4 linked regions of the Drosophila melanogaster genome follow. The protein of the gene in region 2 purifies or fractionates together with the protein of the main gene of each other region. This does not show direct contact. Each region holds a gene or a part of one and is shown on either strand. Other genes may lie near its edges.

Evidence for each region.
Region 1: the proteins of Df31 (region 2) and Fim purify together in Drosophila melanogaster (affinity purification with mass spectrometry, with the first as the bait; one large-scale study listed by BioGRID). This does not show direct contact.
Region 3: the proteins of Df31 (region 2) and CG1532 purify together in Drosophila melanogaster (affinity purification with mass spectrometry, with the first as the bait; one large-scale study listed by BioGRID). This does not show direct contact.
Region 4: the proteins of Df31 (region 2) and CG30339 purify together in Drosophila melanogaster (affinity purification with mass spectrometry, with the first as the bait; one large-scale study listed by BioGRID). This does not show direct contact.

The regions. Positions count from the first base shown.
Region 1 is NC_004354.4:17,284,773-17,294,711, forward strand, and holds Fim (fimbrin), read right to left. Parts: upstream 6,898-9,939; 5' UTR 6,557-6,897; coding exon 6,479-6,556; intron 4,266-6,478; coding exon 3,155-4,265; intron 2,763-3,154; coding exon 2,484-2,762; intron 2,419-2,483; coding exon 2,165-2,418; intron 2,105-2,164; coding exon 1,901-2,104; 3' UTR 932-1,900; downstream 1-931.
Region 2 is NT_033779.5:21,624,708-21,632,593, forward strand, and holds Df31 (decondensation factor 31), read right to left. Parts: upstream 5,226-7,886; 5' UTR 4,986-5,225; coding exon 4,960-4,985; intron 4,270-4,959; exon of another isoform or gene 3,944-4,269; intron 3,880-3,943; exon of another isoform or gene 3,755-3,879; intron 3,503-3,754; coding exon 3,135-3,502; intron 3,051-3,134; coding exon 2,893-3,050; 3' UTR 1,602-2,892; downstream 1-1,601.
Region 3 is NC_004354.4:21,024,362-21,030,807, forward strand, and holds CG1532 (uncharacterized protein), read right to left. Parts: upstream 4,001-6,446; 5' UTR 3,915-4,000; coding exon 3,819-3,914; intron 3,592-3,818; coding exon 3,542-3,591; intron 3,484-3,541; coding exon 3,377-3,483; intron 2,661-3,376; coding exon 2,047-2,660; 3' UTR 1,764-2,046; downstream 1-1,763. Other genes in the region: r-cup (ryder cup), read right to left, coding at 39-337, 428-1,429; CG1529 (uncharacterized protein), read right to left, coding at 5,896-6,446.
Region 4 is NT_033778.4:9,600,190-9,606,269, forward strand, and holds CG30339 (uncharacterized protein), read right to left. Parts: upstream 2,713-6,080; 5' UTR 2,672-2,712; coding exon 2,373-2,671; intron 2,311-2,372; coding exon 1,938-2,310; intron 1,552-1,937; coding exon 1,297-1,551; 3' UTR 1,242-1,296; downstream 1-1,241. Other genes in the region: CG30340 (uncharacterized protein), read right to left, coding at 1-253, 313-942, 996-1,022; CG1902 (uncharacterized protein), read left to right, coding at 3,693-3,991, 4,056-4,422, 4,481-4,753; GstT1 (glutathione S transferase T1), read left to right, coding at 5,898-6,015.

The sequences.
Region 1 (9,939 bases), on a different chromosome or scaffold from region 2:
CGCATTAAGCCAATTGATCATTTGGACACCGAATTTATCTATAAAATACAAAAAACCCAATTGATAACGCTATAACAACAAATCGAATTACAGTTCGATTTTAAATCATACTTATGGGCTGACTTACCTGCATACAAAGCTTTACTTTCACATATTAAAATGTATTTGCCTACTTTTGGGCTTAAGTTTATAACTTATCAAAATTATGGTAAAGATAAAATAATTGAAAATATTTAAATTTAAATCTGTTTTGACAAGTCTACCAACTCAAGCCAAATTGTTTATACTCTTCTGCCTCAGGGCGATTTGCAGATTAAATGCACGGTGGCCTTTAATCACACCATTTTCACAAGTTTCAATTACAATCGCCGGTCATTCGATTCGTATTTCACATACGGATTCCCATGAATGACATAGTTTGCTTCACCGCAAGTCTTACGTCGTCATCATCGCTGGACAAAAGTCAGTTGACTTCATTGAAGTGCCCTACGATTTGATTTGCTAGCCACGTGAGAAGCGCCATATCTGATAAGCTGGCCGATTAGATGGAAGGTTCGAAATACGAAAATCGTCTCATAGAGGGGACCGTATCGATAAGGATTTATACACGCTTAGCATTAACTTATTCGCCTTTCATATCTACAATACGTCTGATTGTTTCCAGGAAACGATAATTTCATTGGCGAACATAAGAGGTGCACGGTATAGCATTAGTCATCAATGTTCTCATTGATCACATATTAAAAAAAAAAACACACAGATGATACAACCTGTGACCTGTCAACGTTTCGGTAAAAGTTTATGACACAAAGTGTATAAATTGACAGAACAATATAACTATTAATGTGCAGCGCCATGAAAATATCTCCCAAGACTTTATGTTGATAACTTCACAGAATTATGACTTATTAAGTGAAACGGCTTTTATATTGGTATTTTTATTTTCTTTATTGTTTTACTTTTATTCTGCATATAATATTACTTCATCTTCTTCTTAATTCGTTTTTTCTCTTGGATTTGTATGTCGCCTCATTGCACTAAAAATGTTTGTTGCCCTCTCTTTCTACGCCGTGTTGGCGATACCTATTGCCACCTCGCTCTAACGCACTTAAACGCAAAATTATACAAATATGTAAAAAGAAATTGAACAAACACGCACGTTGAAAAAAAAACACATAAACAAAGGCGTCTTACAATTACTCGCAAAAAAATTTATAGTAAATATAAAATTAGTTTCTCTGTTTTTCTCGACTTCTTTTGTTTCTGAATATTCCCCATTCCTGATCTTCGTTCGTTATCTTTCTTTAGGCAACGCGTTTATGGAAAAATATATCGATTTATGTAAATTTATATGTTATGTATATAGACGCATATCGTAATCGTATATAAATATATATGTATATATATTACAGAGTTAATTGTTTTCGTCGCAATGTTAATATTATAATTCTTTCTTAATCCTGCACAAGTCGCTTTTTTTTTCTTTCTTTTGTTTCACCATTCTTTTCTTTTAAGGATTTTAAGCGGAACAAGCTAAACCTTTATTTATAAAATAAGGTTACAGTTGTATAATTAATCAATTGTTAAACAAAACTAATTAAGAAACACCCCGCCGGGCTCGAAAACAGATGTGCGACACTCTAAAATCTGTTTGCTTAATTACAATAGGGGGAAACTCATACTCAATTATATAATATATAAATATATAATAAAAAAATTACAAAAAGTAATTGAAATAAAAAAAAAACACAAAAATGTATTGGTAGCGCAGGAAGGAACGCAATCGAATAGAGTTATTAGTAATTAGCGAATACGACAAATTTACGTAGTTCCCACTCTGTTCTTCCCTTTCAAAATCCCATCCTTTTGTTTATGTATAAATGAGTTGTGGCTATGGCGCCTAATTGCTGTTGTTGGCGGAGCTGTTGTGGTTGTTCTGGTCCACACTGTCCATGTTGGGCACGTAGTCGAGGGCCATCATGCAGGCGAAAACGGTCATCACCATTTTCGGCTTCACCTCGGTGATGTCCTCGGGCAGGGCGTAGACACGGGCGCCGATCTTGCGGGCCATGGAGATGGCATACTTGGCATTGGCCAGGTTATCCTGCGGAATCAATAAGCGCTAGTTTAGTCTGCCACATATCATGACATAGTCAGGACTCACCTCCTGTGTTCCGCTAGTGCGCACCAACTCGTAGTTAATGCTGCCCTCCTTGATGGCATCGATCAGATCGATCACGATCTTGCCATCGGCGATGGCCGGATCGTTGAAGTTACGCAGCTGCGACTGTTTGCCTGCCTCCGACAGTCGGTTATTCACCCACTGGACGATCTCCTTCTCGATAATGGGGTTGCCAGTGTTGGCCAAGCGGGACAGAATGGACAGGGTGTAGGCACGCATAAGCTGCCAGATGAGAGCTGTAACCATAAGATAGTTCAGAATTGGTAACATCCAAAAATACAATTAGAATAGCAATGCTTACCCAACGTCAGCGTGGCATTGCCATCGTTTAGATCCTGGCCTGCGATTCCGACCAGCGAGAATTTGAGCTGCTTGCCCAGATCCACCGCATAGTTGCAGTTCTCCAGCTTTTCCATGAACTTGCGCAGCGGGCTGAAACGCTTGTGCACACGGCTCCAGTTGACAATACCCGGCTTGATGACGTCGAACAGCTGGAAAATGACCAGACCATCGGCCAAATCGGAGTAAAGCCAGTTCACGTGCGGTGCCACGCCCATTGAGTTCATCCAATTGCGGTAGGCTAGATAGAAAAATAGAAATGATTGGTGTAAGTTAAATATTTTCCAAATATGTATATAACACCTGAGTATTATAATTCTAAGTAATCGTATTCTTATAAGTACACATATATTATTGTATTATATTCTTATATTCTTCTTGTGATAAATGGTCTTGCGAGCTAAAAATTCCCGGTTTTTATGGCTTGCACTTCTTGTGCAAAGCCGATTGATAAACATATATATTTATAATTGCTTTAATTATGCTATATAAGTGGCAGTTGATATCTACATTTTTTTTATAAGAAACCCTGGATTTTTCCTGATCAACTTTGATTTCTTGTGTTTAATTTTCAATTAAATAAAAACGGTATTTTGTACCGATCTTACGTATGGCTAAATATTAAGTACTTACTCTTCTCTTCGCGCGTCTCCTCAATGGACTCGAGTCCCTCGATCTGCTCGGGCTTGTCCAATCCTGGATGGTTGTTGAACAGATTAGCCACGAAGGCTAGATTGAGTTTGTAGACTCCGTTGACGACATCCTGTGGCGTGAGGAAGCTGCGGCAGTTGAGCTTGGCGGCCTGCTGCAACATGATCTCCGCGCGCGACTGCAGATCGGATTCCCGCAGGGCATCCAGATTGACATCAGCATCATTGCCGGCAATTTGCTTCAGCAAATGCGAATAGATCTCAGAATCGACGATGTCCGACTGGAAGTTGGTGCACCGCCTCGAGATGCCGGCTCGCTCCAAATGATGGTTGACCCAACGCAAAAGGATGGCCTCCGGCGACATCTTCATCAGATCCTCGAGACGTTCGTTGTCGAAGAGTAGGCCAGCCAATCCCGGACAGCTGTCCAGGGTGATGTGGCTAAACAGACCGATGCGGATGATCTGCCAGAGAAGACCCAGCACCAGATGTGGCTTGCCCTTGGCCAGATCGTGGGCATCGATGTTTACGATGTTGCATCCAATCGCCTGGGAGGAAACCAAGGCCAGGGTCAAGTTCTCAAACTCCCGGTAGACGGTGAGGTTCTTCTTGTTGATCGCACGCTCATCGATTGTGTCCGGGCAGGAGTGGTTGATAATTTTGCACAGCAGAATACCATCCTTGATGCTCAGATACAAGCGCTTGCCCTCGCTATCGATGGGCAGCAGATGTTGCAGATCCTTGTCGTGGCCCAGATTCGAGTTAATCCAGTCGGAGAAGGCCAGCTGCTCCTCGAGGCGCACCGAATGGGTGGTGCCCTCCGACGAAATGCTCGACATGCCGCCCAGGGTCTCCAAGTTCTCCTTCTTGGAGACGACCGTCTTGAATGTGCTGGCCACATCCTTGCTCTTCAGGTCCAGGCACAGTGCCTCGAACTCCTCCAGATTCAATTTGCCCTGGAAGGCAGTCAGCTGTTTGCCCTTGTACTCGTCAATCATTTCGCGCACCTGGTAGCCGGCCAGCTTGAAGCCCACCTGGTTGAGGGCATCCTTTAGCTCGTGCAGATCGATGAAGCCATCTTTGTTGGCATCCAACTACAAGAAGGAGAGGGATTTTAATTAGTATTGGTTTAAAACAATTTGCAAAAACTATTAGATCTAGACAGTTTTCATTAACATTGGCATAAACATTATTGACCTTTCCTGAGGCATAAACTTAATTTCTGGCCTTCTCGGAACTCAAAATGACTTAAGGGGCACACCAATACAAATTGAATACAGGAAAGATCCATGAGTAATCCCCGGTCATGAGTAAGTTGTCCGCCGCCTATTGCCACGATCGATCTGTGAGTCATCAATCAAATCCGAAAGCCAAACACACAGCCGCATTCCAGTGCCTGTTTTATCTGCGGAATTCGGAATGCAAAATGCTATATTCCATCTCCCGCAACCTTATCGCTATATTGTCTGTGTGCCAGCCTTATCGAATTTAATTTCCATTTTTCAGTTTTCAGTTCGAGGGGTCTTATCTCCCACCTGACTGACATATCGCTGATTATCGAAAATTGTTCGCTTCAATTTATACAGTTCAAAAGCGTGAGTGGGCGCCACAGAAAATAAGAGAAAATATACAAAAAAAAAAAAAAAAAAGAACTAAAGAAGTGAAAGCCTGAACGAATGAATCAGTTTGTAAACACTTGAGATTCGGACCCGACTTGATTATTTCTTGCAAAGTTTAATGACTAAGAGGTGGCCACTTTAAATACTAATTTTAATCTAGCTGGGATTCCTTTAACAGATTTACATATAAGAGCTATATAATTAAACAGTCCAGTCAATTCGATATATTATTATATGGGTTTCACCACTTTACTTAGATTTATTAGTCATATTTAATGGTTTAAACGCGATTTTTGGTCAAAATGCTTGAAATAATTTAGATTAGATAAGCTTTTATTGTTGGCATCGAAGGGAAATATTTATGTTTATGGTTTAAGTTGTTACAAAATGAAAAATTAAATTAACAAATGCGAACCCGTTTGTTTAAAACTATAATAGCATTGAAAACGGTGGCTGATCTATGTTGCAGTGTATACTATCTTTTTAAACTTACTGAGAACTAACCTAACTCAATAATATTAAGGTTAAATTATTTGGAAACATAACATTTTAACGTGTAATAATGTATTATAAGTACTTTTTCTTAATAAAATATAATAATTTTGGAATATGTTTTGAAAATATTCCCAGCTGATATGTTTAATATTCCACATAAAATCATATTGTAGCTTAGTCCTCAACTATGCCACAGTTTAATAAGCTTGAAGTTAGTTAGTTTTGCTCCAAATTGTTGCGATTTCCATGGGTACCCCCCAATTCGAAATATCGAAATTGGTGAAAACCCAAGTATTCAGCCGGACGGTATAATAAAACGTTCGACATTTTCGCCATATTCGGTGTGCGAAATAGGACAAATCTGAGGGGAAAAGGGGCAGTTGGATCGGCTGATATACTGGACTGTGGAATTTATGGCTCACTGGTTGGTAACTCGGTTTAGTAGTGGTGCGTTGATTGCTCCGCTTTTGCTGTTTGTCGATAAGATAAATTTCTGTGCGCCAAAAAATGAACATAAAAAATCGAAAGCAGCACACGATTACGTGTATGGTAATGATATGATAGGTGGTTCACGGGTTTTCGCGGGGGGAAAACCGTTAAGCCAACGAGGGTGTTGTCCTTGGCCAAAAGAGAGACTATCAAGCGGACTGATAGCTGGGATATTCTTTTGGCCAACATTTGACTGACATCGAACGGAAGTGATTCTGATTTTCGCCATAATTTCGGGGGGAGGTCTGTAGTGGGTCAGTTTGAAGCGCGTGCACTTTATCGGAGGTGTTCACTGTAAAGGCCCCTCTTATTGGCATTGGGTATTGGTATGCGTGGCACCTGTCGGTGTTATCGATTAAAAAGCTATAAAGTGCTCCGAGAAAAGTTGATAGGGCAGAAAAATAAAGAGGGCGAAAAAAAAACACAGACACACCAAAATCGAGAGGGAGTGATTACGTGAATTGTGGGTCATAAAAAATTCAAAATTAGCGTTTTAAAGGCTGTTCAACTCAAGACTCTCAATTTAAAAACGAAGTTTTTTTTAAGTATGTGAGGAATTTAAAAATTAACATCCGTATTCAATTTTTCAAAGATGCTTTAATGCGATATCTTCCTTATATGCGTTCCTAATTGCATATTTTTGTATGGTATAGTTGTTTGCTTTAGCGGTTATCCACTGTAGTCGAGACCGTGGCGCCACCTACGTTGGGAATGAGCTCCTCGAGATTCTGCTTGAACTCCTGAACCGTTTGGTGCTGCTCCACGTTGAGAATATCGGCCATTATTCCAATGTATGTTTGCACGCGGAATTAATTTTATTATTTACGATATTCCTTCTGGTTTTCGTTGCGAAAACAAACAAACAACAAAAAATTAATTGATTTGCACACAGTAAGTACACAACACACGCACAAACGCGTCAGAAAGAGAGTGGGTGGTGCGCGAGCGGAAGAGATCTCCAATTGATCGGGAGAGAGCGAAAGAAAGTCGGCGCGAGAGAGCCAAGGATGCGAGCTTTAATTAAATATTTCTTGTAACTACTCCTTGCTTTCTTCCTCGTTCTTCGTTCTTCTTTCTTTTTTGGCTGATTCGCTTTCCACGGGCTATTGTTGAGTACTAATTGAGTGGTTCAGTGGAACGGACTATTTATGCCTTTTCTTTTATCACAAAAAAACAGAGGCAAAAAACAGCACTCCAATCGAACGGAGCCTTATCAGTAAATGAGAGAGTAAAAGAGGGGAGAAGCCGTGCAAAGAGAGGCAGACGAACACCTTTAGAAAACGCGTCATCCTGTATCGCTAAAAAAAAACTATGATAAAAAGTTACTTAGTTTCAAAAACGGCAAAGTAAAAGGTTCAGTAAATGTGCAGAAATCATCTATAAAGAAACATTGTTAGGTATATATTTTAATTTTCTCCTGGAAGGGACAAGATCCAGTTCCCTCCTTACTTTATTTCTTTCAATGATATTAGCCATTCTCTTTTGCTCTCTCCCAGGTGCAACAATACAGCAGGGTTGCCAAGTCGCCATAAAATGCGGGGTGATTATAACATACAAACAGCAACATATCGCAGCATAATTTAAAATATTTATTTCGTAATCTCTTATTTGTTTATCATTTTTTACATGTGAATAAATCGTTAAACTGTACACCATGAATGTACAAACGTGACGTAGATCAAGTGATTCAGCTTATAAGAAATTATGCAAGCTGTATGAATCGTTGCCTGGATAGTTAAATTTAGTTTTAGTTCATATTTCAGTTGATTCACTTGTCAATTTTCGGTCTCTAGCGTGACGTGGCAGCCCTATTCGCAACACTCTCAAAAGTCCGAAATCGCTTTCAACAAATTGCTTACGCATCGAAAAGTTTTCGTTTAAATGCAATACTACTTGGCGGGTGAACTTATAGAGAGATAATGGGAAAATGAGTGTAAAAAGTACCTGAGAGAGGGACACGGTATTTAAACGTAATTGGTTTTTTAATAGCCATTATATCAGCGAGGGAATTATGTGGCAATTGTCATTTCGGTTAGGTTATAACTTGTACAACATAAATCTAATTCCAGCCAAGATAATAAAAGTTCGAAGCGCGATAAGACAAGGAAATGCGACAATAAACGTTTAGAACTTCCTTCGAACATAAAAACCAGGGGGTTAACGTAAAACTTTAAAGGATCTTGTGTTCAGAAAAAGTCCTCAAGACTGCCAAAATATCTTAAAAAAAATAAGCTTTGCAGATAATAAAAATCGAATAGTTTAAGAGCACACTTTCCCCAGTGTAGTTATGCACAGTGGCCAGTAGTGTTATCGATCAGTTACTCGCGATGACTAATCGCTGGACATACAAAGGCTTTTGTTGTTTGCTTGTAAGTGTCGCCGCTCCTCGATCGACCGATATTTCGAATTAAAGAGAATAAGCCCAGCTGAGCAAACGCATCTTTTGTTATAAAACAGTTGTTGTTACATAATACTATCCACAAGTTTGAGCAAGAGCAGCTGGGCTTAGTCCTATAGGTAATGCTATCAGATTGGTTGCAATCGAAAATGTTGTGCTAAGTACATATATACATATTTATATTACAATATATCTGATATATGTATGTAAATCTATCGGTCGTTAACCTTTCTAAACAGTTTACTGTTTCCCCTCGATAATTACTCCAAATTGCAATAATTTAACAAATATTTACCTCATAAGATGAGTTTATTGTACTTCAATTCACAAAATATATTGCACTTAATTAGCACCTGTAGTACGCCTACCATTTCATTGATTGGAACGCGTTCATTTACACATTTAAATTTGTTAAAAGCCACTTTCAAGTATCTTATTTACTGGCAGTAAGAAATCAAACACCAGAACCGCACACGCCTGACCCCAAGCAACTTTCTACGGGTTCACTTTTGGTGTCACCGATGTTTGCCAACCCTTCACCTATGTACACTCGAAAAAAAGGGCATTAAACAGCAATTTGTTTTTATTTTATATACTTATATGTAGTTTTCCTATAAAGATTATATTATTTTAGTTATGGTTTGAGATCCTGAAAAAAGTCATAAATTAAAAACCTTTTTTATCTAATAGCTAGTTTTATTTGTCCAAGTGTAAGATTTCTTTTTTTTTACCCAGAAGAGAACCTAGGCGGCAATCATAATTATGACAAACAACGCGCGAAATTTTTGTTAATGAACGTTTTTCCTTGTATTTTGTTGTTTATTTTTTCAGTTTGTTGTTTTTATTTTTTTCGAGCGTCAATGTTTGCGCCGCTATTCGGAGCTTAGTCACTGTCATTTAAAGGCAATTTACGGCAAATGAAGTTCATTAGCAGCGGCGAAAAATTCGAGAAAGAAGCAAAAACAAAATGCTAAGCGGTCTTTATAGTTTTTAAAGTTTTGTTTGCCGCGGCTTTTAGGGGGAAAAATGTTTGAGTGACGTAATTGTAGATGTCACCTGGCCGAGAAAACGGAAAACATCAAGTATTTGTGCCACTTTTTTCGCTTTCGTTGAACCGGTTTTCGAGTCCAAAAACTGTCATTTCGTATGCCCGGCACGACAATTGGAATTAGCCTAGCTTTTGCATATCAAGTAATGCCGTGCGATAGTGCAACTACGGTTTTTTAATTCCCCACCCCTTCATCACCTTCCCCACGCTTCACAATCCAACCCATTCCACCCACTTATTCAGTGTGTCGCGACCTCGACAACAAAGGCAGCATTACATCAACATCAGCAGCAACAATAAAAAGCATACACAAATAAACAGCAACAATACAACGCGCGCTGATTAAACGTGAGTCAACAACGTTCAGCATTCGAAACATGTTAATCAGCATTGTTTGATAGATATACTCATACCGCTTTATGCATACGACGAGTATAAGACCCCCAAAAGTACCCACAAAGTACCCAAGTGCGCCCCTCCTTTGACCCCGCTGCTGCCCTGGAGGTCGAAGTGGGCTATAAGAAGTGGCTGTTCGAATCGAATCGAATACAGTCAAGGGAAATCAATTGAACAAAAATTAATAATGCGCCCATGCCTATGCCGATGTTGGCGATAATAATGATGATATGCTAGATAGTTGTTTACCGTTGCACGGCCGTAAAAAAGACCACCAATAGATACTTTACGAGCGTGCACCCCACAAAAGTGGAAACATATTC
Region 2 (7,886 bases):
GCTGATCGTAAATAATGCTATTTAATTTAATTACATAAATGGACAATGTCCAGTAAAAAAGTAATTGCGAACAACGGAATTAAAACTGTAAGGAAGGTGGCTGCTCTATTGTTTGGAAAACAGTTAAATAGCTGTTTTCTGTTTACAAAACATTCCAATAGCAAACATTTTGCAAAAACCAGAGCAGACTTAAAAACGAAATCAAAAGATTTGGCCACGATTTGCTACGATTAACGCAGCATTACTGATAGAAATTAACAAAACAAGCAGTGAAATAAAAAGACCCCAAAAAAATGTCGAAACTGTGGGCATGACAATATGCTCTGCGAAGGAAAATAAATTGAACATAAAAACAACAGAGAATGCTATAGTCTAGAAATTGGCAAGACAAACCAAACTTGCGCTGCGTCTGTGTCTCTAGAATCTGTATGCTTAATCTCAACGCAGCTTTTATAGTTCCTGAAATCTCGACGTTCATACGGCCGACAAAATATCTTATAAAATACATGCTTAATAATATGAGTACGTAAATATTTTCTTACCTGCGTTGCAAACTTATGAATAAAATCAATCATGTTTAAAAAGATTTCCACTCCTACAAGCCGACAAAAAATCGCGCGCCCACACCTTTGATAAAGATTTTTGGCATTTATTTTTTTTGGCTAGACTATTGATTCTGACAAAAAATAAAAAAAAAAACGTTACCTGATAAAATCTTTTCAAATAATCTTGTCTACGGATAAAGGGTAAAATAGGGTAAAGACTAGTATAAATTGGTATCCAGAAGGATTGGAAGATGGAACACTTCCCAGAGATTTATCGAAATTAATTTTGCAGAAACAACTGGGAAACAACTGTCAAATACTTGGGTATCTATCACGTTAGACAATAGGCTAAAATTCAAAGATCACATAAGTGACACAATCGAACAACTTAAAGCCATTATCTGCTCGCTTTATCCATTTATAAACATAAATTCCAGATAAAACATTGAAAACAAAATGTTCTGTTCAGGTCAATCTTCCAAGCACTATCTTTTTACGGTGCTCCAGTATGGTCAGAAATGGCCAAATGTCACATTAACCTGCTACAAATCAGACAAAACAAAATATTAAAACTAATCTTTAATCACCCTTGGCATCACTCAACAGCTCATTTACATAACCGAGCCAATATTGAAGTGGTTTATAATAGATTAATAAGATTGTCCCAAAATTTCTCTATTAAATGTCAAGAGGCTGTGCACCAGCATATAAATGATTTGACCTATCCACCTTAATTGTAATTTTTAGATAATAGCCTTTTTTAAGTGCTTAGATTTTTTTTCAATTACATAAAATTTTTTTCCCAATCGGTATAATATTTTCATTATCATATTATTCATATTGATATTAATATCTAAGTAGATAAGGTTTAATTATTGGCCTGTACTCTTATTATTGTTAAGGTTAAAATAAAAAAAAATTGGATGTCATTAAGCGTGAAATAAATGAAATGAAATAAAATTTTGCGGAGTTTATTCTTCATGTAATTTTAGCTAAAGTGTGAACTGTAGATTTGCCGTGTTTGTTTTACAGGCTTCTTAATTGACGTAAATATATGGGATATAATGTCATGAGTCAAGAGATTATCAAATATTAAATTTTCTGATTAAAATTAAACGAAAGTCCAAAAATACAAAAAAAAAAACAACTTACCGTAGGCAAAATAGTAATACTATTTGTAACGTTCTGTGTCGAAATCATATTACCTAAAATAGTTTACTTTCCACTAATATGTACTTGGACCGCACCCTACCAAGAAAATAATAATTTCTACTATTGGCGACAGCTGTTATTTGTGCGAATACAAACATGCTCAAATTAATAAAAGTTACGCTTACAGTTTGATTTTAATTTTTACGTTTCATTTTATTTTTTAATAATCTCGAATCTTGATTTTGCTGAATGCTGGATTTACTGGCCATTACCTTTCCTGCCCATTAAATCGTTGTTAAACATTGAACATTAATGAGAGTTTCGTCGCAGACTATTTCGTAGGCTTAGACAAGTAAATAAAATGTAATTGGGAATGTGAAATAGGTGGTACCTTGATTACAAATAAAAAAGGTACGATTTCGAAAGCATTTTAAAAATAAACATTTCAGAGTATTGCTGTAAAAGTTGTTTTTCGTACTTTTTATTGTTTCTATGTGGTAGTATTTTTTTAGCCGGTTGGCATACATTTTTCTGGGGTTGTTGCTGGCAGCTTTTTGTTACATTTTACTGAATTTTTAGTTTTACTTTGTTCGATATAAATATTCATACTCAAAAATAAGATACGGTTGTAAAATTAAAAATTGTAAAGGATTACATATGTTATTTTGCCGTAATTGTTTTGATGTTTTTCTTACTTAAAGATTTTGTTTGCAATTTGTTTCATTCGCTTCGTATTTTTTTTTACAATTATTAAATTTGACGCTTTTGTTTACAACTTTTATTCTTAAAACATAGAGGGTCTCGCATCTTAATTTCGCTTAATATTGTTCTCTTAATCCTTCGCTTTATATATATATATACTTTGCTTTAAAGTTAAGATTTTAAGTAAGTTTTTAAATAATAATGGATTTTTTGTTTTCGTTTGTTGCCGGTATTGTTGGTTGGTAGGTTGTTTGTTAGTAGAGAGAGAGAGAACCGGTACGCTATAAAACTACGCTCCCATTGCCGGATTGTTATTGGAGAATTGCGCCCGCCACCCAAGCAGCCACCCACGTATCACCCGCTCACAAGAGCGGAAAATGGATACAGTCCGGGTTCCTGGCGGTAGAACCGTAATTTCTGTGATTTGCTTTTTTTGTGTTAGTAAGTATTTAATAAGTAGATTACTGAGTTTGCTGCTCCGCGGGCGATTCCCTTAGGCGGCCACTTCGCTAGCCTCGGCCCCATTCTGAACCTCATCCTTTGTGCTGGCCTCATCAAGCTTAGCCTTTTTCTCCGGCGTGGCGACGGCCTCATCTGCCTTGGCTGCAGCCTCATCCACCTTCCGCTTTACAGCCTCAATGGCGGGAGCATCTGTAAGGCGATAATAAAAATTGAACAATAAGAACATGAACGTGGAAAATTTGTTTGGCATTGATATCATTGATATCATCATACCTGTTGAGTCACCGTTGGTGACCTCCTCGGAGCCATTCTCGACAGCAGGTAGAACAGCTTCGCTGCTCTCTTTTTTGGTGTCCTCCCCATCGGCAGCGGAATCCTCTTTTTTATCCTCGTCCTTCTTCTCATCCTTATCGGCGGCAAAAGAAACAGTGGGCTCAGACGCCTTTTCACCATCGACTGCGTCGGTGGGCTCGGTCGCGCTGCTGTCGGCGGCTCCGTTCTCCTTGGCTACGCTCTCCTCTTCGGCGCCACCGTTTTCTGTGATGCTCGCCTTCTCAGCTGCTACCTCCTCGGCGGCAACTGCATCTTTCTTCACAGCATCAACTTCCTCAGCTGCGACCTTCTCGACAACAGGGGTCTCACTGTGGGTGATAATCAGAGACGAAAGTCAGTATGCACTTATAATTTTTTCCGAAGGTGGCCGAACTGAACTTCGTATGCATAGCATTCTACTACATACAAAACTCTAAACAGTAAATCAATTAAAAATTATCAAAAACTAAAACTATTAATTATTAATTAATTAAATATTAATTGAATTTAAAAAAAAAAAAGAAAAATTTCAATATAGCGCCGGTAGGTAACGTTTATGTTTTCATCCTCCACTTTCTATTCATAAGAGCCCCAGGACGTTCGGAATTAAAACTAAAAAAAAAGTGCATTGTTACATCTGCCGGCGTTTTTCAAAAATGGGATCAACAACTCGTGCAAGCTGCGACGCAAAAGGAAGCGCGAAAAGGTGAGTGCGATTAGGCGGCACGCTCTTTTTCATATAAATGGCATATATTCATTTGTTATTTCAGTGCTCTCTACCAACAGATGAGAACAGGGTAGAACCAAAAACACGCTTGCAGACGTGCAAAATGAAAAGCGAGACCCGTTTAAACTAAAACGAACAAAGATAGAAATAAAAACCAGTTTTAATGGGATTAATGACAATATAGTCGTTTCTCTCGCACTCATCTACCAACAGATACTCGCCATCTGAGGTAGATAGAATTCTATAGGGCGAACAAAAAGAGAGTTGCAAAGTAGCAACGCTAAACGACAAAAATAACGGTCCAAACGATACAAACAGTAGCATAACGTCATACAACCTGCGTCTTTCAAAGAAAACCGGAACAGCCTTAGGCATGAGTTTTGTTTTGTTATGTATTATAAGCTGCAACATATAATAACTACTTAAAAAAAATATATACATAAGTGTTCATCGATAGGGAAAGAGGGAGTATTTTTGGTAATGCCAATATAGATATGCGTGAAAATTTATACTGTTAATTTCAAGCTTCGAGCTTTAAGCTATCAAATGGGTATAAAAGGCAAGCCTCGAAATTTGATGTCTGGTGAGAAACGCAGCAAAGCAACATACGAGGTAGCACAGACAGATGAAATGAAACAGCACAAGAAAAGAGCGGCAACTTGAATGCTGCACACGCATACACACACACATGTCTATAGACTTTTGCGCATTTGGCCTGTCGTCCGCATACACTCAACGCATTACTCCGCCGCTACACACACACACACAAATAATTCATCGTTGCTGTTTGCCGGCCGGAGAAAGAGCGAGAAGGCACCATGACGCCGCGCCAAATTAAACGGCGTCGGTTTTTGCGCGCACACCGTTTTGCCTTTGGCGGGAACGAGACAACTACATTAGTGCCAACAAGCGGTTTGCGTATATAGACACAGAATTCAAAAGAAAATTTCCAAATCTTTTCGGCAAATAACATAGATTTTCATTAGCAAAATTCGCTACAAGTCCATTGCTTAAACAAAATCCACAAACGTCCGAAAACAAGGCAAGCAAAGTACTCACTTCTTTTGCTCAGCCACATCAGCCATTTTGAATTACTGTTAGATATTACTTTTCAAACGCGAAGCGAGAAAACACGTTGTAACTGAGGGTTTTTGGATCACCAAGCACGCCTTAAATATCAGCACAAAGATTTTAAAAGAACGAAATTTTATCAATATAGTTTCCTCTTTAGTAGCTTTGCTAAGAAAGTAGCTTGGTTGCTGGAGATTTTGCCGTACAATTAAGAACGTCCACACAGTCACAAAGAAAAACGCCGAATGAGAGAGCGGTGAGCGTCGGACCGGCTTTTAAAGCGCCGCCCTGTAGTGTTGGTAGACGTCGGTAGTCCGCTTGCGATAGTTCCGCCTCCGGAAAACATATCTTTGTTTGTTATCGTTATCACCCGTTCTCTATTTAATTCGGAGTTAGCTTATGCTGATAGATTTTTACAATTTTATTTTAATATATTAAAGAGATGAAATATAGCAGTGACAAATATTTCAAAATAACGGTCCCCTAAAAAGGGCTGCCACCTTTTAACTATTATTTAGCGGCTACACAAATATAGCAGGTAAAATATTCAAATGCATTCCTATCCTTGTTTTTCTCATTGACCTGAGTGATTTTTCGTGTAATACACCTTCCCAATTCTAAGTTTTTTTTTTGATCCGGTACTCCTAAAAATTAAATAAACAAACACACAAACATGTATGTTCATATATATATATATACACATATCGTCATTTTTAAAAAATTCAAGCTTTTTATTAAATTACATCAATCAATTTCCTTGTAAATTACACAGTCTACAAGATCTTAAAAATAATATCTTAAAGATATGTCATATGTATGTAATCAAACACATAAAACCGACGGAAATAATCCTCACCCCTCTGAAAACATTTTCAGGTAGTCAGATATGCACGCATAAGTACGTACATACATACATATGTATAGTGGCCTTGTCTGCGTCCCTTGATCGGTATAATAGAAAAAAGAATTAGAGTGCGCTACCAGGCAGCTGGTAAATTTTCTGCTTCACTAAAATTTTACAATATTTTAGGCTATTGGCAAGGAAAACAATACACTAGGACTGAGATTCCATTGCCGAAGAACATAGACGCTATTATACATACATATAATTACAAGTTTTCAATTTTCATAAGTCAACATTTAATTTTAGGTCTCATGCTAAACTCCACTTATTGATCTATATTGATTGACGATCAATCCTCGGTCTCGAGCTTTTTTAATATGGACTTTGGGCTGTAAAATTTTAATGGGCTTTTGCAAAGACACTAGAATAATCTAGTGTCTTTGGCTTTTGGAGTGAAGTGCATTCGCTCTTGGATACAAGCGCTATTAGATTTTTAAGATTTTATTTATTGAAATTCAAACTTTTGCTTTCGAGCTTGTGAGTGTCGGCTTGGAACGTGAAAACATGCTGATTTAATAAAATTGGACAACGGATGTTTGCTTTACAGGTGGGTGATTTGTTTCGGGTTTTCGATTTCATCGTCTGTAAAATTTTGGGTTTATTCCATTTAGCCTTGCTTTGGGGTTGTTTCTTGTTTCTAAAATATAATTATAGGAACGAGGCATTCGTTTGTATTGAAAAGTCTTTACTTCATATAGAACCAAACATGGTTTAAAGATTGCCGTCAAGGAAAGTATGACTTCCGAAATCCGAAGGGCATCTCCCAAAATTTCGAGAATTAGCTTTTGAAACTTTCGACACGATATTCTAAGGCGATATATCGACCAATAATTAAAGAAAACAGATTTTTCCGCGACGCAGGAAATTGGGCACTACTGGTCTAAGGTTAATATTCTCAACCATTTTGAAATCCCCTTGAACGCACAAAAAAGATTGAATTCAAATCAGTTATGCTCTAATGTCTAAGTTCGCAGCAAAGAATTATATACGTAGATAAGCACGTACATATCAATGAAGATACCTATATTCTTGAACAGAACAAAATTATATTTTCATCACAAAAGATGATTTCAGAGCAGTAAAGGTGTCATCGTTACTAGTTTTTTTACATCGTTGAGGCGGGCTTTGATTTGAAATCAGTAGATTTTTTTAAGGAAAAAAATCAACGGATCTATTTACTAAATTCATAATTTGTGGTATTTAAAAAATAACATTTAGAAAAATAGACTTGGAAATGCCTTTTTTTTATTCTGAATAAAATTCTTTGGTCCCCAAATTACTTACTAATGTATAAAAAGTATAACGTAAATATCTCTTACTCATGTTTGTATACTATGTTTAGTGGACATCAATAAATGCAACAGAACTCTACTATGAAAAATTAACCAATTTTTTTCTGAAGCGTTATTTACATTCTGTAAGGCATTTAATCAGTGTGGCTTGCATTATGAGTAAGTGAGTGGCAAAAGCAAAAAAAATGTTCAACCCAAAATTCGATAAAAATATAAATTGCCATACATAAGCATTTTTAAAGCCGCGAAACCGGCCACGTCCACACTTTTGAACAATTTTTAAATTTTGTCGAATTTTTTCCTAATAAATTTCTCCGTTCTGAAGTTATTAATTTTGGCCAGAAAAAGTGGTTAGGTTTCCCATAGTGCAGTCCACCCCGACACACTCACACAGGCGCTGTCAAATAGCAGCTGCACTCATTTTAAGGTCAGCTGCATTCATGACGTTTTCTTCATCGGTCAGTGGTTGCCTATTGGCGGGAGACCTTAATGAGATTTAATTAACTTTATGCTCTTCCGGTAATATTCTGAATACGCTATTGTGCAAAGGGACTCTTATCAGGATAGCCCAGCTGTACCGTTATCAGTGCATTGCTTCGATCGCATGCGCAAAAACGAGCTTTCAGCCGAAAAAGCTTGCTCTCGTTCGACCTCTGAGCGTTTAAACATGAAATAACGGAGGTCCTTGCTGGTGAGGCTGAAATCGACAATCAGTCAAG
Region 3 (6,446 bases), on a different chromosome or scaffold from region 2:
TGCGAGTTCGCTATGAGTTCGAAATAACTGAAACTCACTGGTCTGCCAATCGATCGGTGCTCTGTTTGTCGGCGCCGGCATAGGAGTAGGTGGATCGATCCCCGAAGATGAGCTCCGTGTGCTCCAGCGGCTTGGCCACCGGTATGTTGAGCAGCTGGCACATGGCGCTCTTGTCGTAGGGCGTGACCCGTGTGGGCGGCAGGCGGTATCCCTCGCACAAACTGAGGGCCAGATTGTTGTACACCTCGTTCATGAACTCCGCCTTCCAGGGCATCAGTCGATTCGTCTTGATGACCACGTAGCTGCCCATCACTTCCTCCACAAACTTGCGCAGGCGCTATAATTAATGTGGTTAGTTATTTTAAACTAGCTGGTTTCGCTTTTACCTGGCATAGGTGGAATATGTAACCCACCAGCCGTAGCTCACCTTGATATCATTCCGCCCCCGCAGCACCTTAATGGTCCGCAGGATGCTCACCATGTTTCGCCTGGTTTGGTACTGGATCCGGAACAAGTTCGCATCCCGCATGCGAGCCTCTATCTGGGGATTCCGATGGAAGTACTCCTTGTACATGGGTCTCCTTGCCTGGAGCATCCGTGTGAAGGTCTTAAGGCGCTGGAACGCATACTCAAGATACTTGGTGCGGTCCGCCGAGGAGCCGAAATGATTGTCTAGAAGACAGTTGGGATGCCGGCGAAGTGTTTTCAGAAAGAAAAAATCGGTCCAGCTGCGACCCAAATAGTTCTGATAAAATATTTTGGTCTTGCGACGCCTGCGCTCTCTTTCCAGTGGGGAGAGCATCACCTCCTTGCGATCGATCCTGCTCTGGACATCACACTCCTTTCGCTCCTTGAGGATTTTCCACAGCGGCCGCCTGTCGGCCCTTCGAAGCTCCTCCTGCTGATGGGCATAGAAGCCGGGCAGCTGCGCGGAATGCTCCATGAAGAAGTTGGCCAGGCTGAAGCCCGTGCAATCCTTGAGATTCTCATCGACTACCACGAGGCGATTCTCGAAGCTCTTTAGAGCGGTGCCCGCATGCCGACGGACATTGTCGTGCAGCAGGCTCTTGTTCTCCTCAAACCGATTCAAATCGTAGAGCGCATCTCCGAGCTCCATGGACACATTTGCGTCCCACGCCTGCCTTACCTCCATGGCCCTCAAGCTATCCTCCAATGCGTCCTGCGTCAGGGCCACCGATCTCTTGAATTTGCTGCGCAGATAAAGAGCCTTGTGATCCGTGCTCTCATTCTCTGTGATGCATTTGTCGAAGTACTTCTGGGCAAAGGTGTTCTTCCGCATCCGCGCAAAGTACTGGCCCCAACTGCGGTAGATCCAACGCTGCTGCTCCGTCGGCCAGTCGAACGTTTCCCAAGACTTCAGATTTGCCACCAAAAGGCCTGCCGGCGCCGATTGACTCGAGTCCTTCATTCTGCACCAACGTCTCCTTGTCGCTCAAGTAAAAAAAAAATAAAAATAAATTCAGGAAACACCCTAAAAAAATAAATGCTACAAAAAACGAAATCGAAACCAATTTGTCTCTTCTAAAACTGAAATGAAAATGAAAGGAAAATCCCGAGCACGTTGTTAGGATCATAAAAATAATACTTAAGTACGCAATACTTAATAAAATATATGTGTTCCAAATCAAGAATACATATACTTGAAATCCTTTTCGCTAGTAAGGACCAATTAAGCGGATTTATGACCATCTGTTTGTTTAGTCGAATTAAAAACCACAATAGCTGATATCAGGATGTCTTTTCACCTCGTTTAAAGGTGTTTTTGATTGATTCAATACTAGAAAAGCTAAAATACTTCTTATAACAAAGAAAAATAAGTCCCATACGCACGCTTAATTTTATCGACAGTTTATGTAATAAAATATATGTATGTTGTAAAACAAGAACGAGCGTAGGTGATGTTTTACAATGTTTTAAAAAGTATAATATCTCCGTTGAAAACAGCCATTAACCATTAGACAATACAAAATCCAAATACAAAAGGTGCTGTGTACAAATAACAGTGCTCAAGGATTGCTGGGAAAGTCATTTCGGTTGGAAGGGATCCTTTTCGATGTTTCGATCCAGTCGCTTATCGCCATCGGACTCCACCTGAGATAGCTGGCCGAAGCCCTCCTCGTCGACAAAGCAGATCTCATGACCATCGGGGTCACCGAGAATTACCACCGTAACGGTGGCCTTTCCTGGCGTATCCAGGGTAATCAGAGGTGTTAGAATGGCCCCGCCAGCTGCTTTAACCGCTTCTTGGAGAGGTGGCTGCTGGGCCGCCGGAATGGCAAAGGCGATTCGTCCATAGGCCTTAGCTCTATTAATTGGCTCTGAGATCTGGGTGATCTCCAGTGAAGCCTGCTGTTCACCGTAACTCAAACGCACGCTTGCTTCGTTCTCCTCGAGAACTTTCAGTTGCAGCAAATCGTGCCAGTATTTGCGCGAGTTTTGAAGATTGCTCACATTAAGCTCCACCGATTGGACAGGATCAGAGCTGGCAGAGGCCTGATCGATCACATAGAACTTGTAGCCATCGGGCGAGGTCAGCAGACTACCGGCTTTTCCAGACACCTGTGTCACAGGATACGAGTGCTCGGCGGCGCGGGAAAGGATATCCTTGGAGTGTATGGTCACGCCCCCAAAATCATTGCCTGAATCGAAAAGAATAAGTATCGATTAACAGGATTTATAAGTGTTAAAATTAACTTGGGAATTAATACAAAGGGAATCATTAAGTAGTATATTTCAATTACTGTACTGTACTTTTTCAAACATCTTCAAACATTCAACTCACATACTTTCGTTTTTAGTTCATTTTGTGATAGACAGAAATCTTCATCGCGGTTTTAACTAGAATGACTGATAGATTTCGACCTACTTATAGATAACTATTTCCGTATTCATAAAGAAAAAGATTAATAACCTACTATCTTTACGTACTTAAGACAAGTCACTTATCGAATAGCTATTATTAGTGAAACACTTAATTATGAAGTTGTCGAAGATAGAATAACTCATTTGTACTTTAAGATAAGCCATCCCAATTTTACTAGTGTTAGATTAAATATTTTGGATTATAACTCGGTAATCATTTATAGGGTTGTACATTTTTTCAAATTTCCAGAAATGTGTACATATGACTGCTCAAAGCTTAAATATGCGATTTAGCCTACCATCACTGAAGTTTCAAACTTTTTCAACTCTCAATTCTTATTAAAAACGCTTTAATGCCTGATAAAATAAATAGGTATTTTAGGATGATATTACTTAGCCGCTGTAAGGGTTAAAACGTTCCCGCTTGTTAGCTTGCACTCAGGACTTTTAATCCTCATGTGAGCCTAACATTTTTATCCGGTATGTGTCTTACCCATTTCGTAGCTGCTCACTCCATAGTTATACGTGAGTTCGATGACGAAATGCGAACTTTCGGGTCCATAACCCACCATTGTTTTGCTCCACCGATTGTCATAGGGCCTGTGAAGGATTAACACTACCAGTTAGTCCTGTCGCAACACTCCGAAATAGCACTCACCCGTTGCAAGCTGCGTCGCATCCCTCCTTGAACTCCTCATGCCGCAGCACCTGTTGCCGTGCGAACGAGCGGGATGGCGATAGAAGGGAGCAAAAACGATGAGAGAAAAATGAAATTTTAACACAGTCATTATATGACATTATCGGGCATCTGGGCTTTTTAATTAGCAGCCGCGCGTCGTTGACACGTTGTCCAGATAAAACTACAGCCAGACACAACAGCCTGCGATAAGGAAGTCTGCCGATTTCTGGCGATACGCCCGCCACACCCAGCTTACCGTCATTCCCAAGATTTGCCGAAAGAAGAAGGCGTTTTTCGCCCGATCTCCGATTTTGAACACATAGTGCAGGGCGCGTCCCGATATGGCCGACATCTTTGTGTTTATCAGCTGGCGTTTATTCAGCAAGTGCTTTCCGATCGAATTTCGGCCTTGTTTATGTACATTCCGTTTCAGTGTGGCCGTGCGCAGAACAGCAAATATTCCCAGCGACGGGAGCTTTTGGAAGTATCGATATTTTTTAGTTTAGACTAAATAATAATAAATTTAAATACACTGTAAGTTTTAAATTATAAAGTGCGCTTTTTGCTGATTGACATCTACGAGGAAAAAACTAATGACTATCGCACCTTCAAAAAACGAATATCGGAATTTACCTTTTGTGACACAAAATTTTACACTTGACAAATACACTTTAAAAAAAGAGTATATCCAAAATGTTGTCACAAAAGTCCTTCCATGAAAAGCAATTATCGTCAACAGTTTTATTAGGCACTTAAAATATGGAGTAAGCGAGCATATAAAACGTATAAAATACGAAGTAAGCGAACATATAAAACTATTTAATACATTGTAGTAGCAAGGATAAAATGTCGTGAAAGTAAGATATTTAAAAATTTTCGCTAATGCGTCCTAGCCACATTTGCATGATAGTTCATTGGATATACACTACGCGTCATCAGATTAGCGCCCCCTGCATGGCTCCGTTCATTTTTATTTTCTGGTTTTGCCATTGCACGAAAATTCATCAATGTTGTTGTTTTTTGTTCACTGACATTCCCTCTCTCCTTGAGGATAAAAAAAAGGTCCTAAGGTAAGGACAACAAAATTTGTTATGCTGTTGAATTGAAAAGTTTGCTTTAAGAGGAACCCTGTTATCCCTGCAGGAAATATACAATATCATAGCATTCTATTAATGCTCATAATCATAAAATTTCAGAAAACCCGCCAGATGTCGCAACCCTATAATAAACTTTATTCAAAAGAACGAAACTTATGGAAAAAAAAAATAATGGTGGCAATAACCTTGTCTTTACCGCGGCAGATCGCAGGTCCATACTTCGAATACCTCCCAATTCCCACGACTTCTCCGCCAAAATTCGAGAAAAAGTGTTGAAAACCAGATCAAATCTTTGATTCAAATGGTGATTAAGACAGCTAAACATAAAACACGAAAAACTGAAAATAAAACCACCTCTCAATAAGTTGCGAAAAAAAGCGGGTCTGAGTTTTGCTCGAGCTCATTTGACTTGGTCTAAGGAGTGGCGTCGTATTTTCGGACAAGAAGAAATTTAATCTGGAGAAACCAGACGGCTTTTTTCATTACTATTATGATTTGCGTACATTTTGGATCGCTGTCACAGTCGGGTTATAGGTAAATTGCAGTTTTAAACACCAAAAATGAACGCAAAAGATTATAATTCAAAACTGCATTTCCCTACTTTAGAAACGTTTTTGGAAATTTAGAATGACATTTTCAAATTGACAGTGTCTCAATCCACACTGCACGTTTGGCAAAAACATGGATTCCATACTACTACCACCATACTACTACTATATAATAGATAACGTGTGGGTATGGTTGGCTAGGAAGGTATACGAGGGTGGTAAACAATATGCCACTCAAAACGAATCGTTCACCGGAATAAAACTCGATTGGTCTGCGATTACTTTGGATTACCTACAAAAAAAATATATGATTCCCTTTCCAGACGAATGTGTGAAGTCCATAATTTCCTTTAAAAATATTCTAATTTAAATATTTAAGTGTTAATCATCCCAATTTCTTTCGAAATGAATCGAACCAACTTAAATTATCTTAGGGGGCGTTATCCTGATAACCCAATTTTAATTAACCCATTTATGGATTTTTTTTTTACTTAAATAAAAATCTATAAACAAGAAACTGCATCCTATATAAATTTTACATTTATAGAATTGTTCAACGTTTGAATGAAAAGCAATTTTCAAAACTCTAGCTTTAACAGTTTTCTAAATATCTCAAATCAAAGATTTTTGCTCAAGGGGCGCTAACCTGATGTATGTAACCGGACGTATATGGATAGGTTATAGTTGATCATAAGGCTTTCGAAGGGATAGGTTTGTAGTCATGGAAATGCCCTTCCAGTCGCGCCGAGTCTTGCGATTCTGCGTCCTGCTCTATTTTGTGCTGCCATTCCGGATCGAGTGCATCTTCCTGCTCTAGCTTGCACTGACTTGCCTCCAGCGGATCCGGTTCCGGATCGTAGGACTCTTGACCTTGTTGACACTCATTTGGCCGCTGGCTTGTCTGCATGGTCACCTCATTTCGGTGGCTTTCCCTGGAGAGATCTCTCTGCCGTAGCTTTTCCCCCTTGCGGAGCTGATCCTGTTGAGCTTCCCGAGCGCCCTGCTCCTGATCGCGGTCGTGCTCCTGCTCCTGCTCCTGACTCTCCCGACTGTGCTCCCTTCGTTTTCTGTGCGTCTTTCTCGCGCGGTGCCTTCGTAGGTGCAACTCAAGGGTTTGTCGCGAAACGCAAGGCTTCTGGCAGTGAATACAGGCAAAGGGCCATTCCTCGGCTGCCTCTCCCGAGCCCGTGGATTCCGTGTGCAGCCGCTCGTGCCGCACCTGCGAGGCATGCGTGCCAA
Region 4 (6,080 bases), on a different chromosome or scaffold from region 2:
CATAGATCAGCGGATTGACGGCGGCGTTCAGAAACATCAAATACTGTGATATGTACCAGAATAGCTGCATTCCACTGCTGACAGAGACATCTTCACCGAAGTATTTTTCCCGTAGTACAACCAGGATTGTAAAGGGCAGTCGTAGAGCTGCAAAGACAACGACCACAATGAACAGTGTCTTGGCCACGCTGCGTTTATAGCTCACTGTCAGCGGGTTCTCGCGACTTAGGACCCGCTTTTCATACCGATCAAGCTGTTTTTGAGTTGGCTTATTAGTTAAAAATCCAGGATGAGCACACTTTCTTTGCTTACCTTATAAAATATGGCTATGTAGCAGATAAGCATGATGCCTAATGGCAGCCACACCAGAATGGTGATCAGAACATACCAGTACTTGGGCAGCACAGAGGTGTTCTCCTTGCAATATCGCTCCGTAAAGTTCTTCCACACTCGCACCCTGTAAGAGCGATAGAAAGCCAATGGTGATGCCAATAGGATACCCGAGACCCAGGTGCAGACCACCACTATCTGGACGCCCCTTATGGTGAGGCGCGTCTCCATTGGCAGCACGATGGCCGTGAGACGATCGTAGCTGACTACCGAGAGATTGAGCACGGCTGTGATGAGGAAGACCACCACCAAAAAGCCCTCCAGCTTGCAGCCCACGCATCCCAACTGGTAGTTCTGATAGAAGTCGTTCACCATGAACATGGCAGGACAAATGGCCAGGGTCAGTAGATCCGCAACGGCCATATTTGCAATAATCAAGTTGGTGGGCGAGCGCAAAGAACGGTTGGTGGCTATCACATAAACCATGCTGAAGTTTCCATACAGACCAAAAGCAATCAGTGGTAGAAAAGTGCAGATCTTCCAGGTGATCTCCCCATTGGGCTTGTGCAGCCAGATGCGCTCGGCTGGGAAGTCCCATTTGCCGAAGTCAAACTAAATGAAAAAGGTATAACTACGGTGAAATGAAAATCTTACTCATTACTAACATCGTCGCTGCTGGAAACCGAAGCCATTCCGTTGGATTCCTGCTTCGACGCCTTTTGCAGAGGAACTGCCTAAGCGTTCGTCAAATTAACATGACCAACACTTGATCCCACTTCATTTAGTTAGTTAGGTGATTGACAATGCTATTAACAAGTGTCACAGATAGTGCTCGCTAAAAGCTAATGGCTCTGCGATTTGGCCATCTGTCGCGTCGCTCTCGGCGATTCTCATGAGAAGTCTAGTTAGTTGTTTTGAGGATTGTTTTTGCCTTTTATTGAATACTAATTAAAACACGTTCCGACTTTAATCGATGTCGAGTTTTCGGAAGGATCCCTCAGCGCCAAAAATTGAATCCGCATTAACACGCTTTCCAGGCCGCAGCTGCTCATCCACTCCGTACTGGGAATCCTCAGCAAAATAGCTCTCATAGGACAGCAATTTCTTCTCCGCTTCCGCCTGAATGTCGGCTATACGTCCATTGTTGCCACCATATTCTTCCGGCAGGTATTCGCGTGGTATCACCTCGTTTAATTGCTCGAGATTTTTATACACGTGAAACTGAAAAAGTAGAGAGCCATGTGTGTGATGAGTCAGGGAAATAGATTATTCTCCTATTCGCTGATATATCTACTTGCACCTTCCCCCCGTATCTTAAAACTCGGCCCAGTGTTTCAATGATAAGAGCCCATGTGCGTGGTCAACTGACCTTAGGCAATGCTGCTCCACACACAGTATTTCACAGTATGCGGACCCAGCTCGAAAGTTAGTGGCTCTGATTTGTGAAATATTAATTAATAGTTCAGGGGTGAGAGAGTGCCACAGCTCTTCAACGCCTATCAGCTGCCTGCTAGACCAGCTGATAATCTCGTTGAAGTGTCCGATAAGGGAACGAAAATAAATTAGCTAGAGTGGCTACGACTATTCAATTATTCTTGCCTACTCACCCGCTGCTGGAGCTTGCTGGGCATTAGGCTCTTGGCCAAATTCAGTAACGCCACTCCCTCCTTGGGGCAATTGATCAGATGGACTCCTTTCAAGCGAGTGGGCTGTGCCTTCTCAGCGAATATTCCCATCCTTTTGATGAGCGTGAAATCCAGTTGGGCCAGAAAACTGAGGCTCATTTTGGCCATGTCAACGATCTCGACGTAGCCGCTAATGTTGCTGTGGTCATCCTCACGGATTGACTGTTCCGTTATCATGGTTTGGTAGCGGAAGAGATCCAATAACTTGAATTCCTTAGGGTCGAATTTCTCATAGTTCGTAAGCTGCAGGCGGGGGCCATCGGTTCCCCAAGGTTTGGGCAATCGAACATAGGTTCTAAATAGAAATTTAAGTTTCTTAAGTTTTTAAATATCCTTGATGAGCGCCTTTTAACTCACCCAGATCTGCACAAGATTAGGTTCCTTTCGTCCACCAATCTTTTGCCGAAGAGCTCAGGCATAAGCGTCTTAATAGTATAAAAGTGATCCAGCTTGGACTTGGTCTTCTCCAGGCTAAACTTGCAGCCTCGCAAGAAGCCAACTAGGAACTGGTCATCCTGGCGGGCCCTCAGATGAGGTTGCTTGGCCAACCAATCCCGAAGAGCTTTCAGATCCGCGGGCACTCGCTCCTCCACTTCGTTTAGCTCCGTTTCAGCAATGCGACGAAGTTCGGCGCTCAGGGGACGCAGATTGGCCATTTTTGGGAAGTCGCTTGCTTCGTGGCGGCTGGACGGCTACTAAACGCTCTTCCTAATCGCACGGCGGCCAAAATCCCCGGGCCGAAACGGAACCGTTAAAAGCTAATCTGAGCTGCCTTTATGGCCACTCATTCAGTTGATAGCGGACACGACCATTTCCACCACTCTCTTTTGCTCCGACGGCCCATCAAATCCAACCCGATCTTTTGGGTGTAGGCGGTCGAAGTCTCTCCTCGGAGGAGATAAGATTACGGCTCCACTGCATCTATGGCGTGTAAGCGTGCAGCTGGCGAAGAAGCAGTTGACTCTGTGGATAGAAATACGCCACAATTCAAACGGTTGTGAGTATGCAGATCGTATCTTATCACCGGATCGGAAAAGCACAGTTGGCAGGAATTACCCAATTATGGGGTTTAAAAGTTAATGACATATCAAGTGGGTGTATTTTTTTTTAAAGATATAAGTTGATTGAACAATTTATTATTTATCGGGGGTGTAAAAAATCGATTATCATCTTTAAATCGCAATGAAATCGCAATTTTAAGGCTGGATTGCTTAAGAAGTATACTAAAAATATCCAAATATATATCATCCTATATAAATAAAATTTTTTAAACTTTATACTAGCATTACAAAATTGAGATTACCAATACGAAACCAGTAAGGTGCAAATGTATTTTCCAGTGCACTTATCATATTCACATAACATTGCTATTTGTGTTTGCTCTATCGGCCACTGATATCACATAATCTGGTGCTCAAATGGTTTGTCATTGTGAGTTTGCTCCGTGCCGTAGTGTTTTTCGCGTTCTTCTGCACCAGTGTGCCCGCTATCGAATCCGGGAGGGTTCCCGAACCGATCAGAATCGGTAACCCAGTCCAAGCAGGCGGGCGCAAACTTTTCTGTTAGTCGTGTTCGCACCTGGCGAGAGAACACACACACCTTAGCACACTCCAAGCCTTCGGTATCGTATCTCAAAATTAAGACAAGTATCGATCGATTTGCAGATTCCCTGTGACCATGGCCAAGATACGATCGCTGGAGCCGGAGCTGGCAGAGGTGGCTCGAACGCAGCTCTGCGAGGATCCGTCCTCGACGGTTGCGAAGATCGAGGCGCTAAGGACCTGGATCGACAAACAGATCTACCTGGAGGCGCGGACCGACGATCAGTTCTTGGTGGCCTTTCTGCGCTTCTGCCGCTGGGACGTAGAGGAGGCCAAGAAGAGGGTACTCTTCTACTACACCTACAAATCAAAGGAAAGAGAACTGCTCAAGGGTCGCCAGGTGGACGATAAGCTGATAGAACTGGCTCGTTCAGGGTAAGGCGGGGACCCCCCTCATTTTCTGGAGGTGGGTGTTATAGAAAAACTTGTTCTTTTGCAGAATATTCGCCACATTGCCCAAACCTATTGGCCCTGGTGGCCCCCGCATCCACTACACACGAATGGGTCACATTGAACCTTCCAAGCACAGTGTCAGCGACATTTTCCGCTTCCACGCTTTTCGCGCTGAGATCGAGATCAACACGGACGACAACTGGAACATAGCCGGCGTGGTGGAGATCATCGACTTCACCAAGATACCCTACTCTCTGCTACTGCAGTTCGATCCTGGCATGTTCAAGCGGATGAATGCATTCCTAGAGCATGGAATTCCAGCGAATTTAGTGGCCACGCACATTGTCAATGCATCCAGGGAGACGCAGTTTGTCCTTGGACTGGTTCGGAATGTCATGAAGCAAAAGGAGCTGGTGAGTTCAAAGGGAAAATCGATGCAGAACCACTAACTCTTTGCTACCCTTCCTACAGTTGCACATTCACTCCACCGTCGCGTCTCTGCGAAAGGCAATTGGATTGGAGTATTTACCCGTGGAAATGGGCGGCGATAATGGATCTTTGTCTGATGCAATGACGCGCTACGAGACCCAGCTGCTAAGCTTTTCCCCGTACTTCACGGAAGACGAGCGATATGGCGTGGATGAGAAATTGCGGGAAGCCAGTGAGAAGGATCAGGAAAGGGGTGCTCCGTTAGTAACCGACGTTCCGAACGACGGAACCTTCCGAATGATTAACTTCGATTGAGTCAATGATCGGGCAGTTAGTTGTATATTCTGATGCACATCCTATAGAACACCCATTTAACACACAGCCCGATATATACACACTGGAATGTATAGACACTACAGCGCTAAAGCGATCTTTGGTCATAGCAGAACCTGATATTTTATAAATGAAACCATAAGGGAGGAACATCGAAACTAAAAGCAAATTGAACAATATTATAGACGACAAGTGCACACTAAAACGAAATAAGAAGCAAATGGATCGCCATCAAATGGCACAAAAACCTCACAAGTTTGTCGATTTTAATTTATTGCTGTCCTTATCCACGCACATACTTATACACATTCTAACGTCCGGTCGAACGATTCATTCTACCATGATCCCATAATGCATTTTCATGATGAAATCTTCAACGTCTTCTACTTGCGTGCTAAGTTGTTGTTGGCTTTGATTTTATCGCATACTTTTATAAATACGGTACATGAGCATACATATATATTTTGGATAATTTTTCAGTTGGTTAAGTGTCGTTTTTACTAATTTTTGATACTAGTTTACACATACATATACATGCATCTCTATATTTATGGATAATACATACATAGTTAAATGACTATATTTAAATGTGACAATGTACTGTAGACCCCATGTTGAGTGCGTTAATAAATTAAAGCGAATTTGTTTAAATGTCGGTATAACTAAAACATAAATGGTATTACTTGGGGTTGCCTTCTTCATAAATGGGGTAAGGGTAATGTGTTTATCTGGTCGAGATAAACGCTTTGTGGTTCTTGATGACTGGTTGACATATCGCTGTTTGAACTGAGATTCCGATAAGTGAAATCGATAAGCTTTCGGTTATGACAAAAGCAAGGCTACAGCATTTAATTTTATTGATCATTGGTATATTTTATCTGACTTCTTACCACCACCTGATTATTTTGAACTTATATATTTGCCCGCCCTTCTCGGATTCCCCATAGAATGGGATGGGATGGCAATATCATTTTGGGTACAGTGTTGAAAAGCGACCAGTTTGAACTTTGGACCGGAATAAAGCTTTTTGCTTTGAGCTTTTTGACATTTCATCAGCGACAACAAATATATTTTGTTTTCGTGTTTACCGGGCTTCCTGAAGCTAACTGATTAATTAATTGCCAAGATGTCGAAGGCTATTAAGTATTATTACGATTTCCTATCGCAGCCATCCCGCGCCCTCTGGATTGCTATGAAATTGGGCAAGACCCCATTTGAAGACTGCCCGGTTGCCCTGCGAAAACGTAAGAATAAATAACAAGTTACACATGTATATAAGGTATAAAGATCTTCTAACATTTGGGATGGT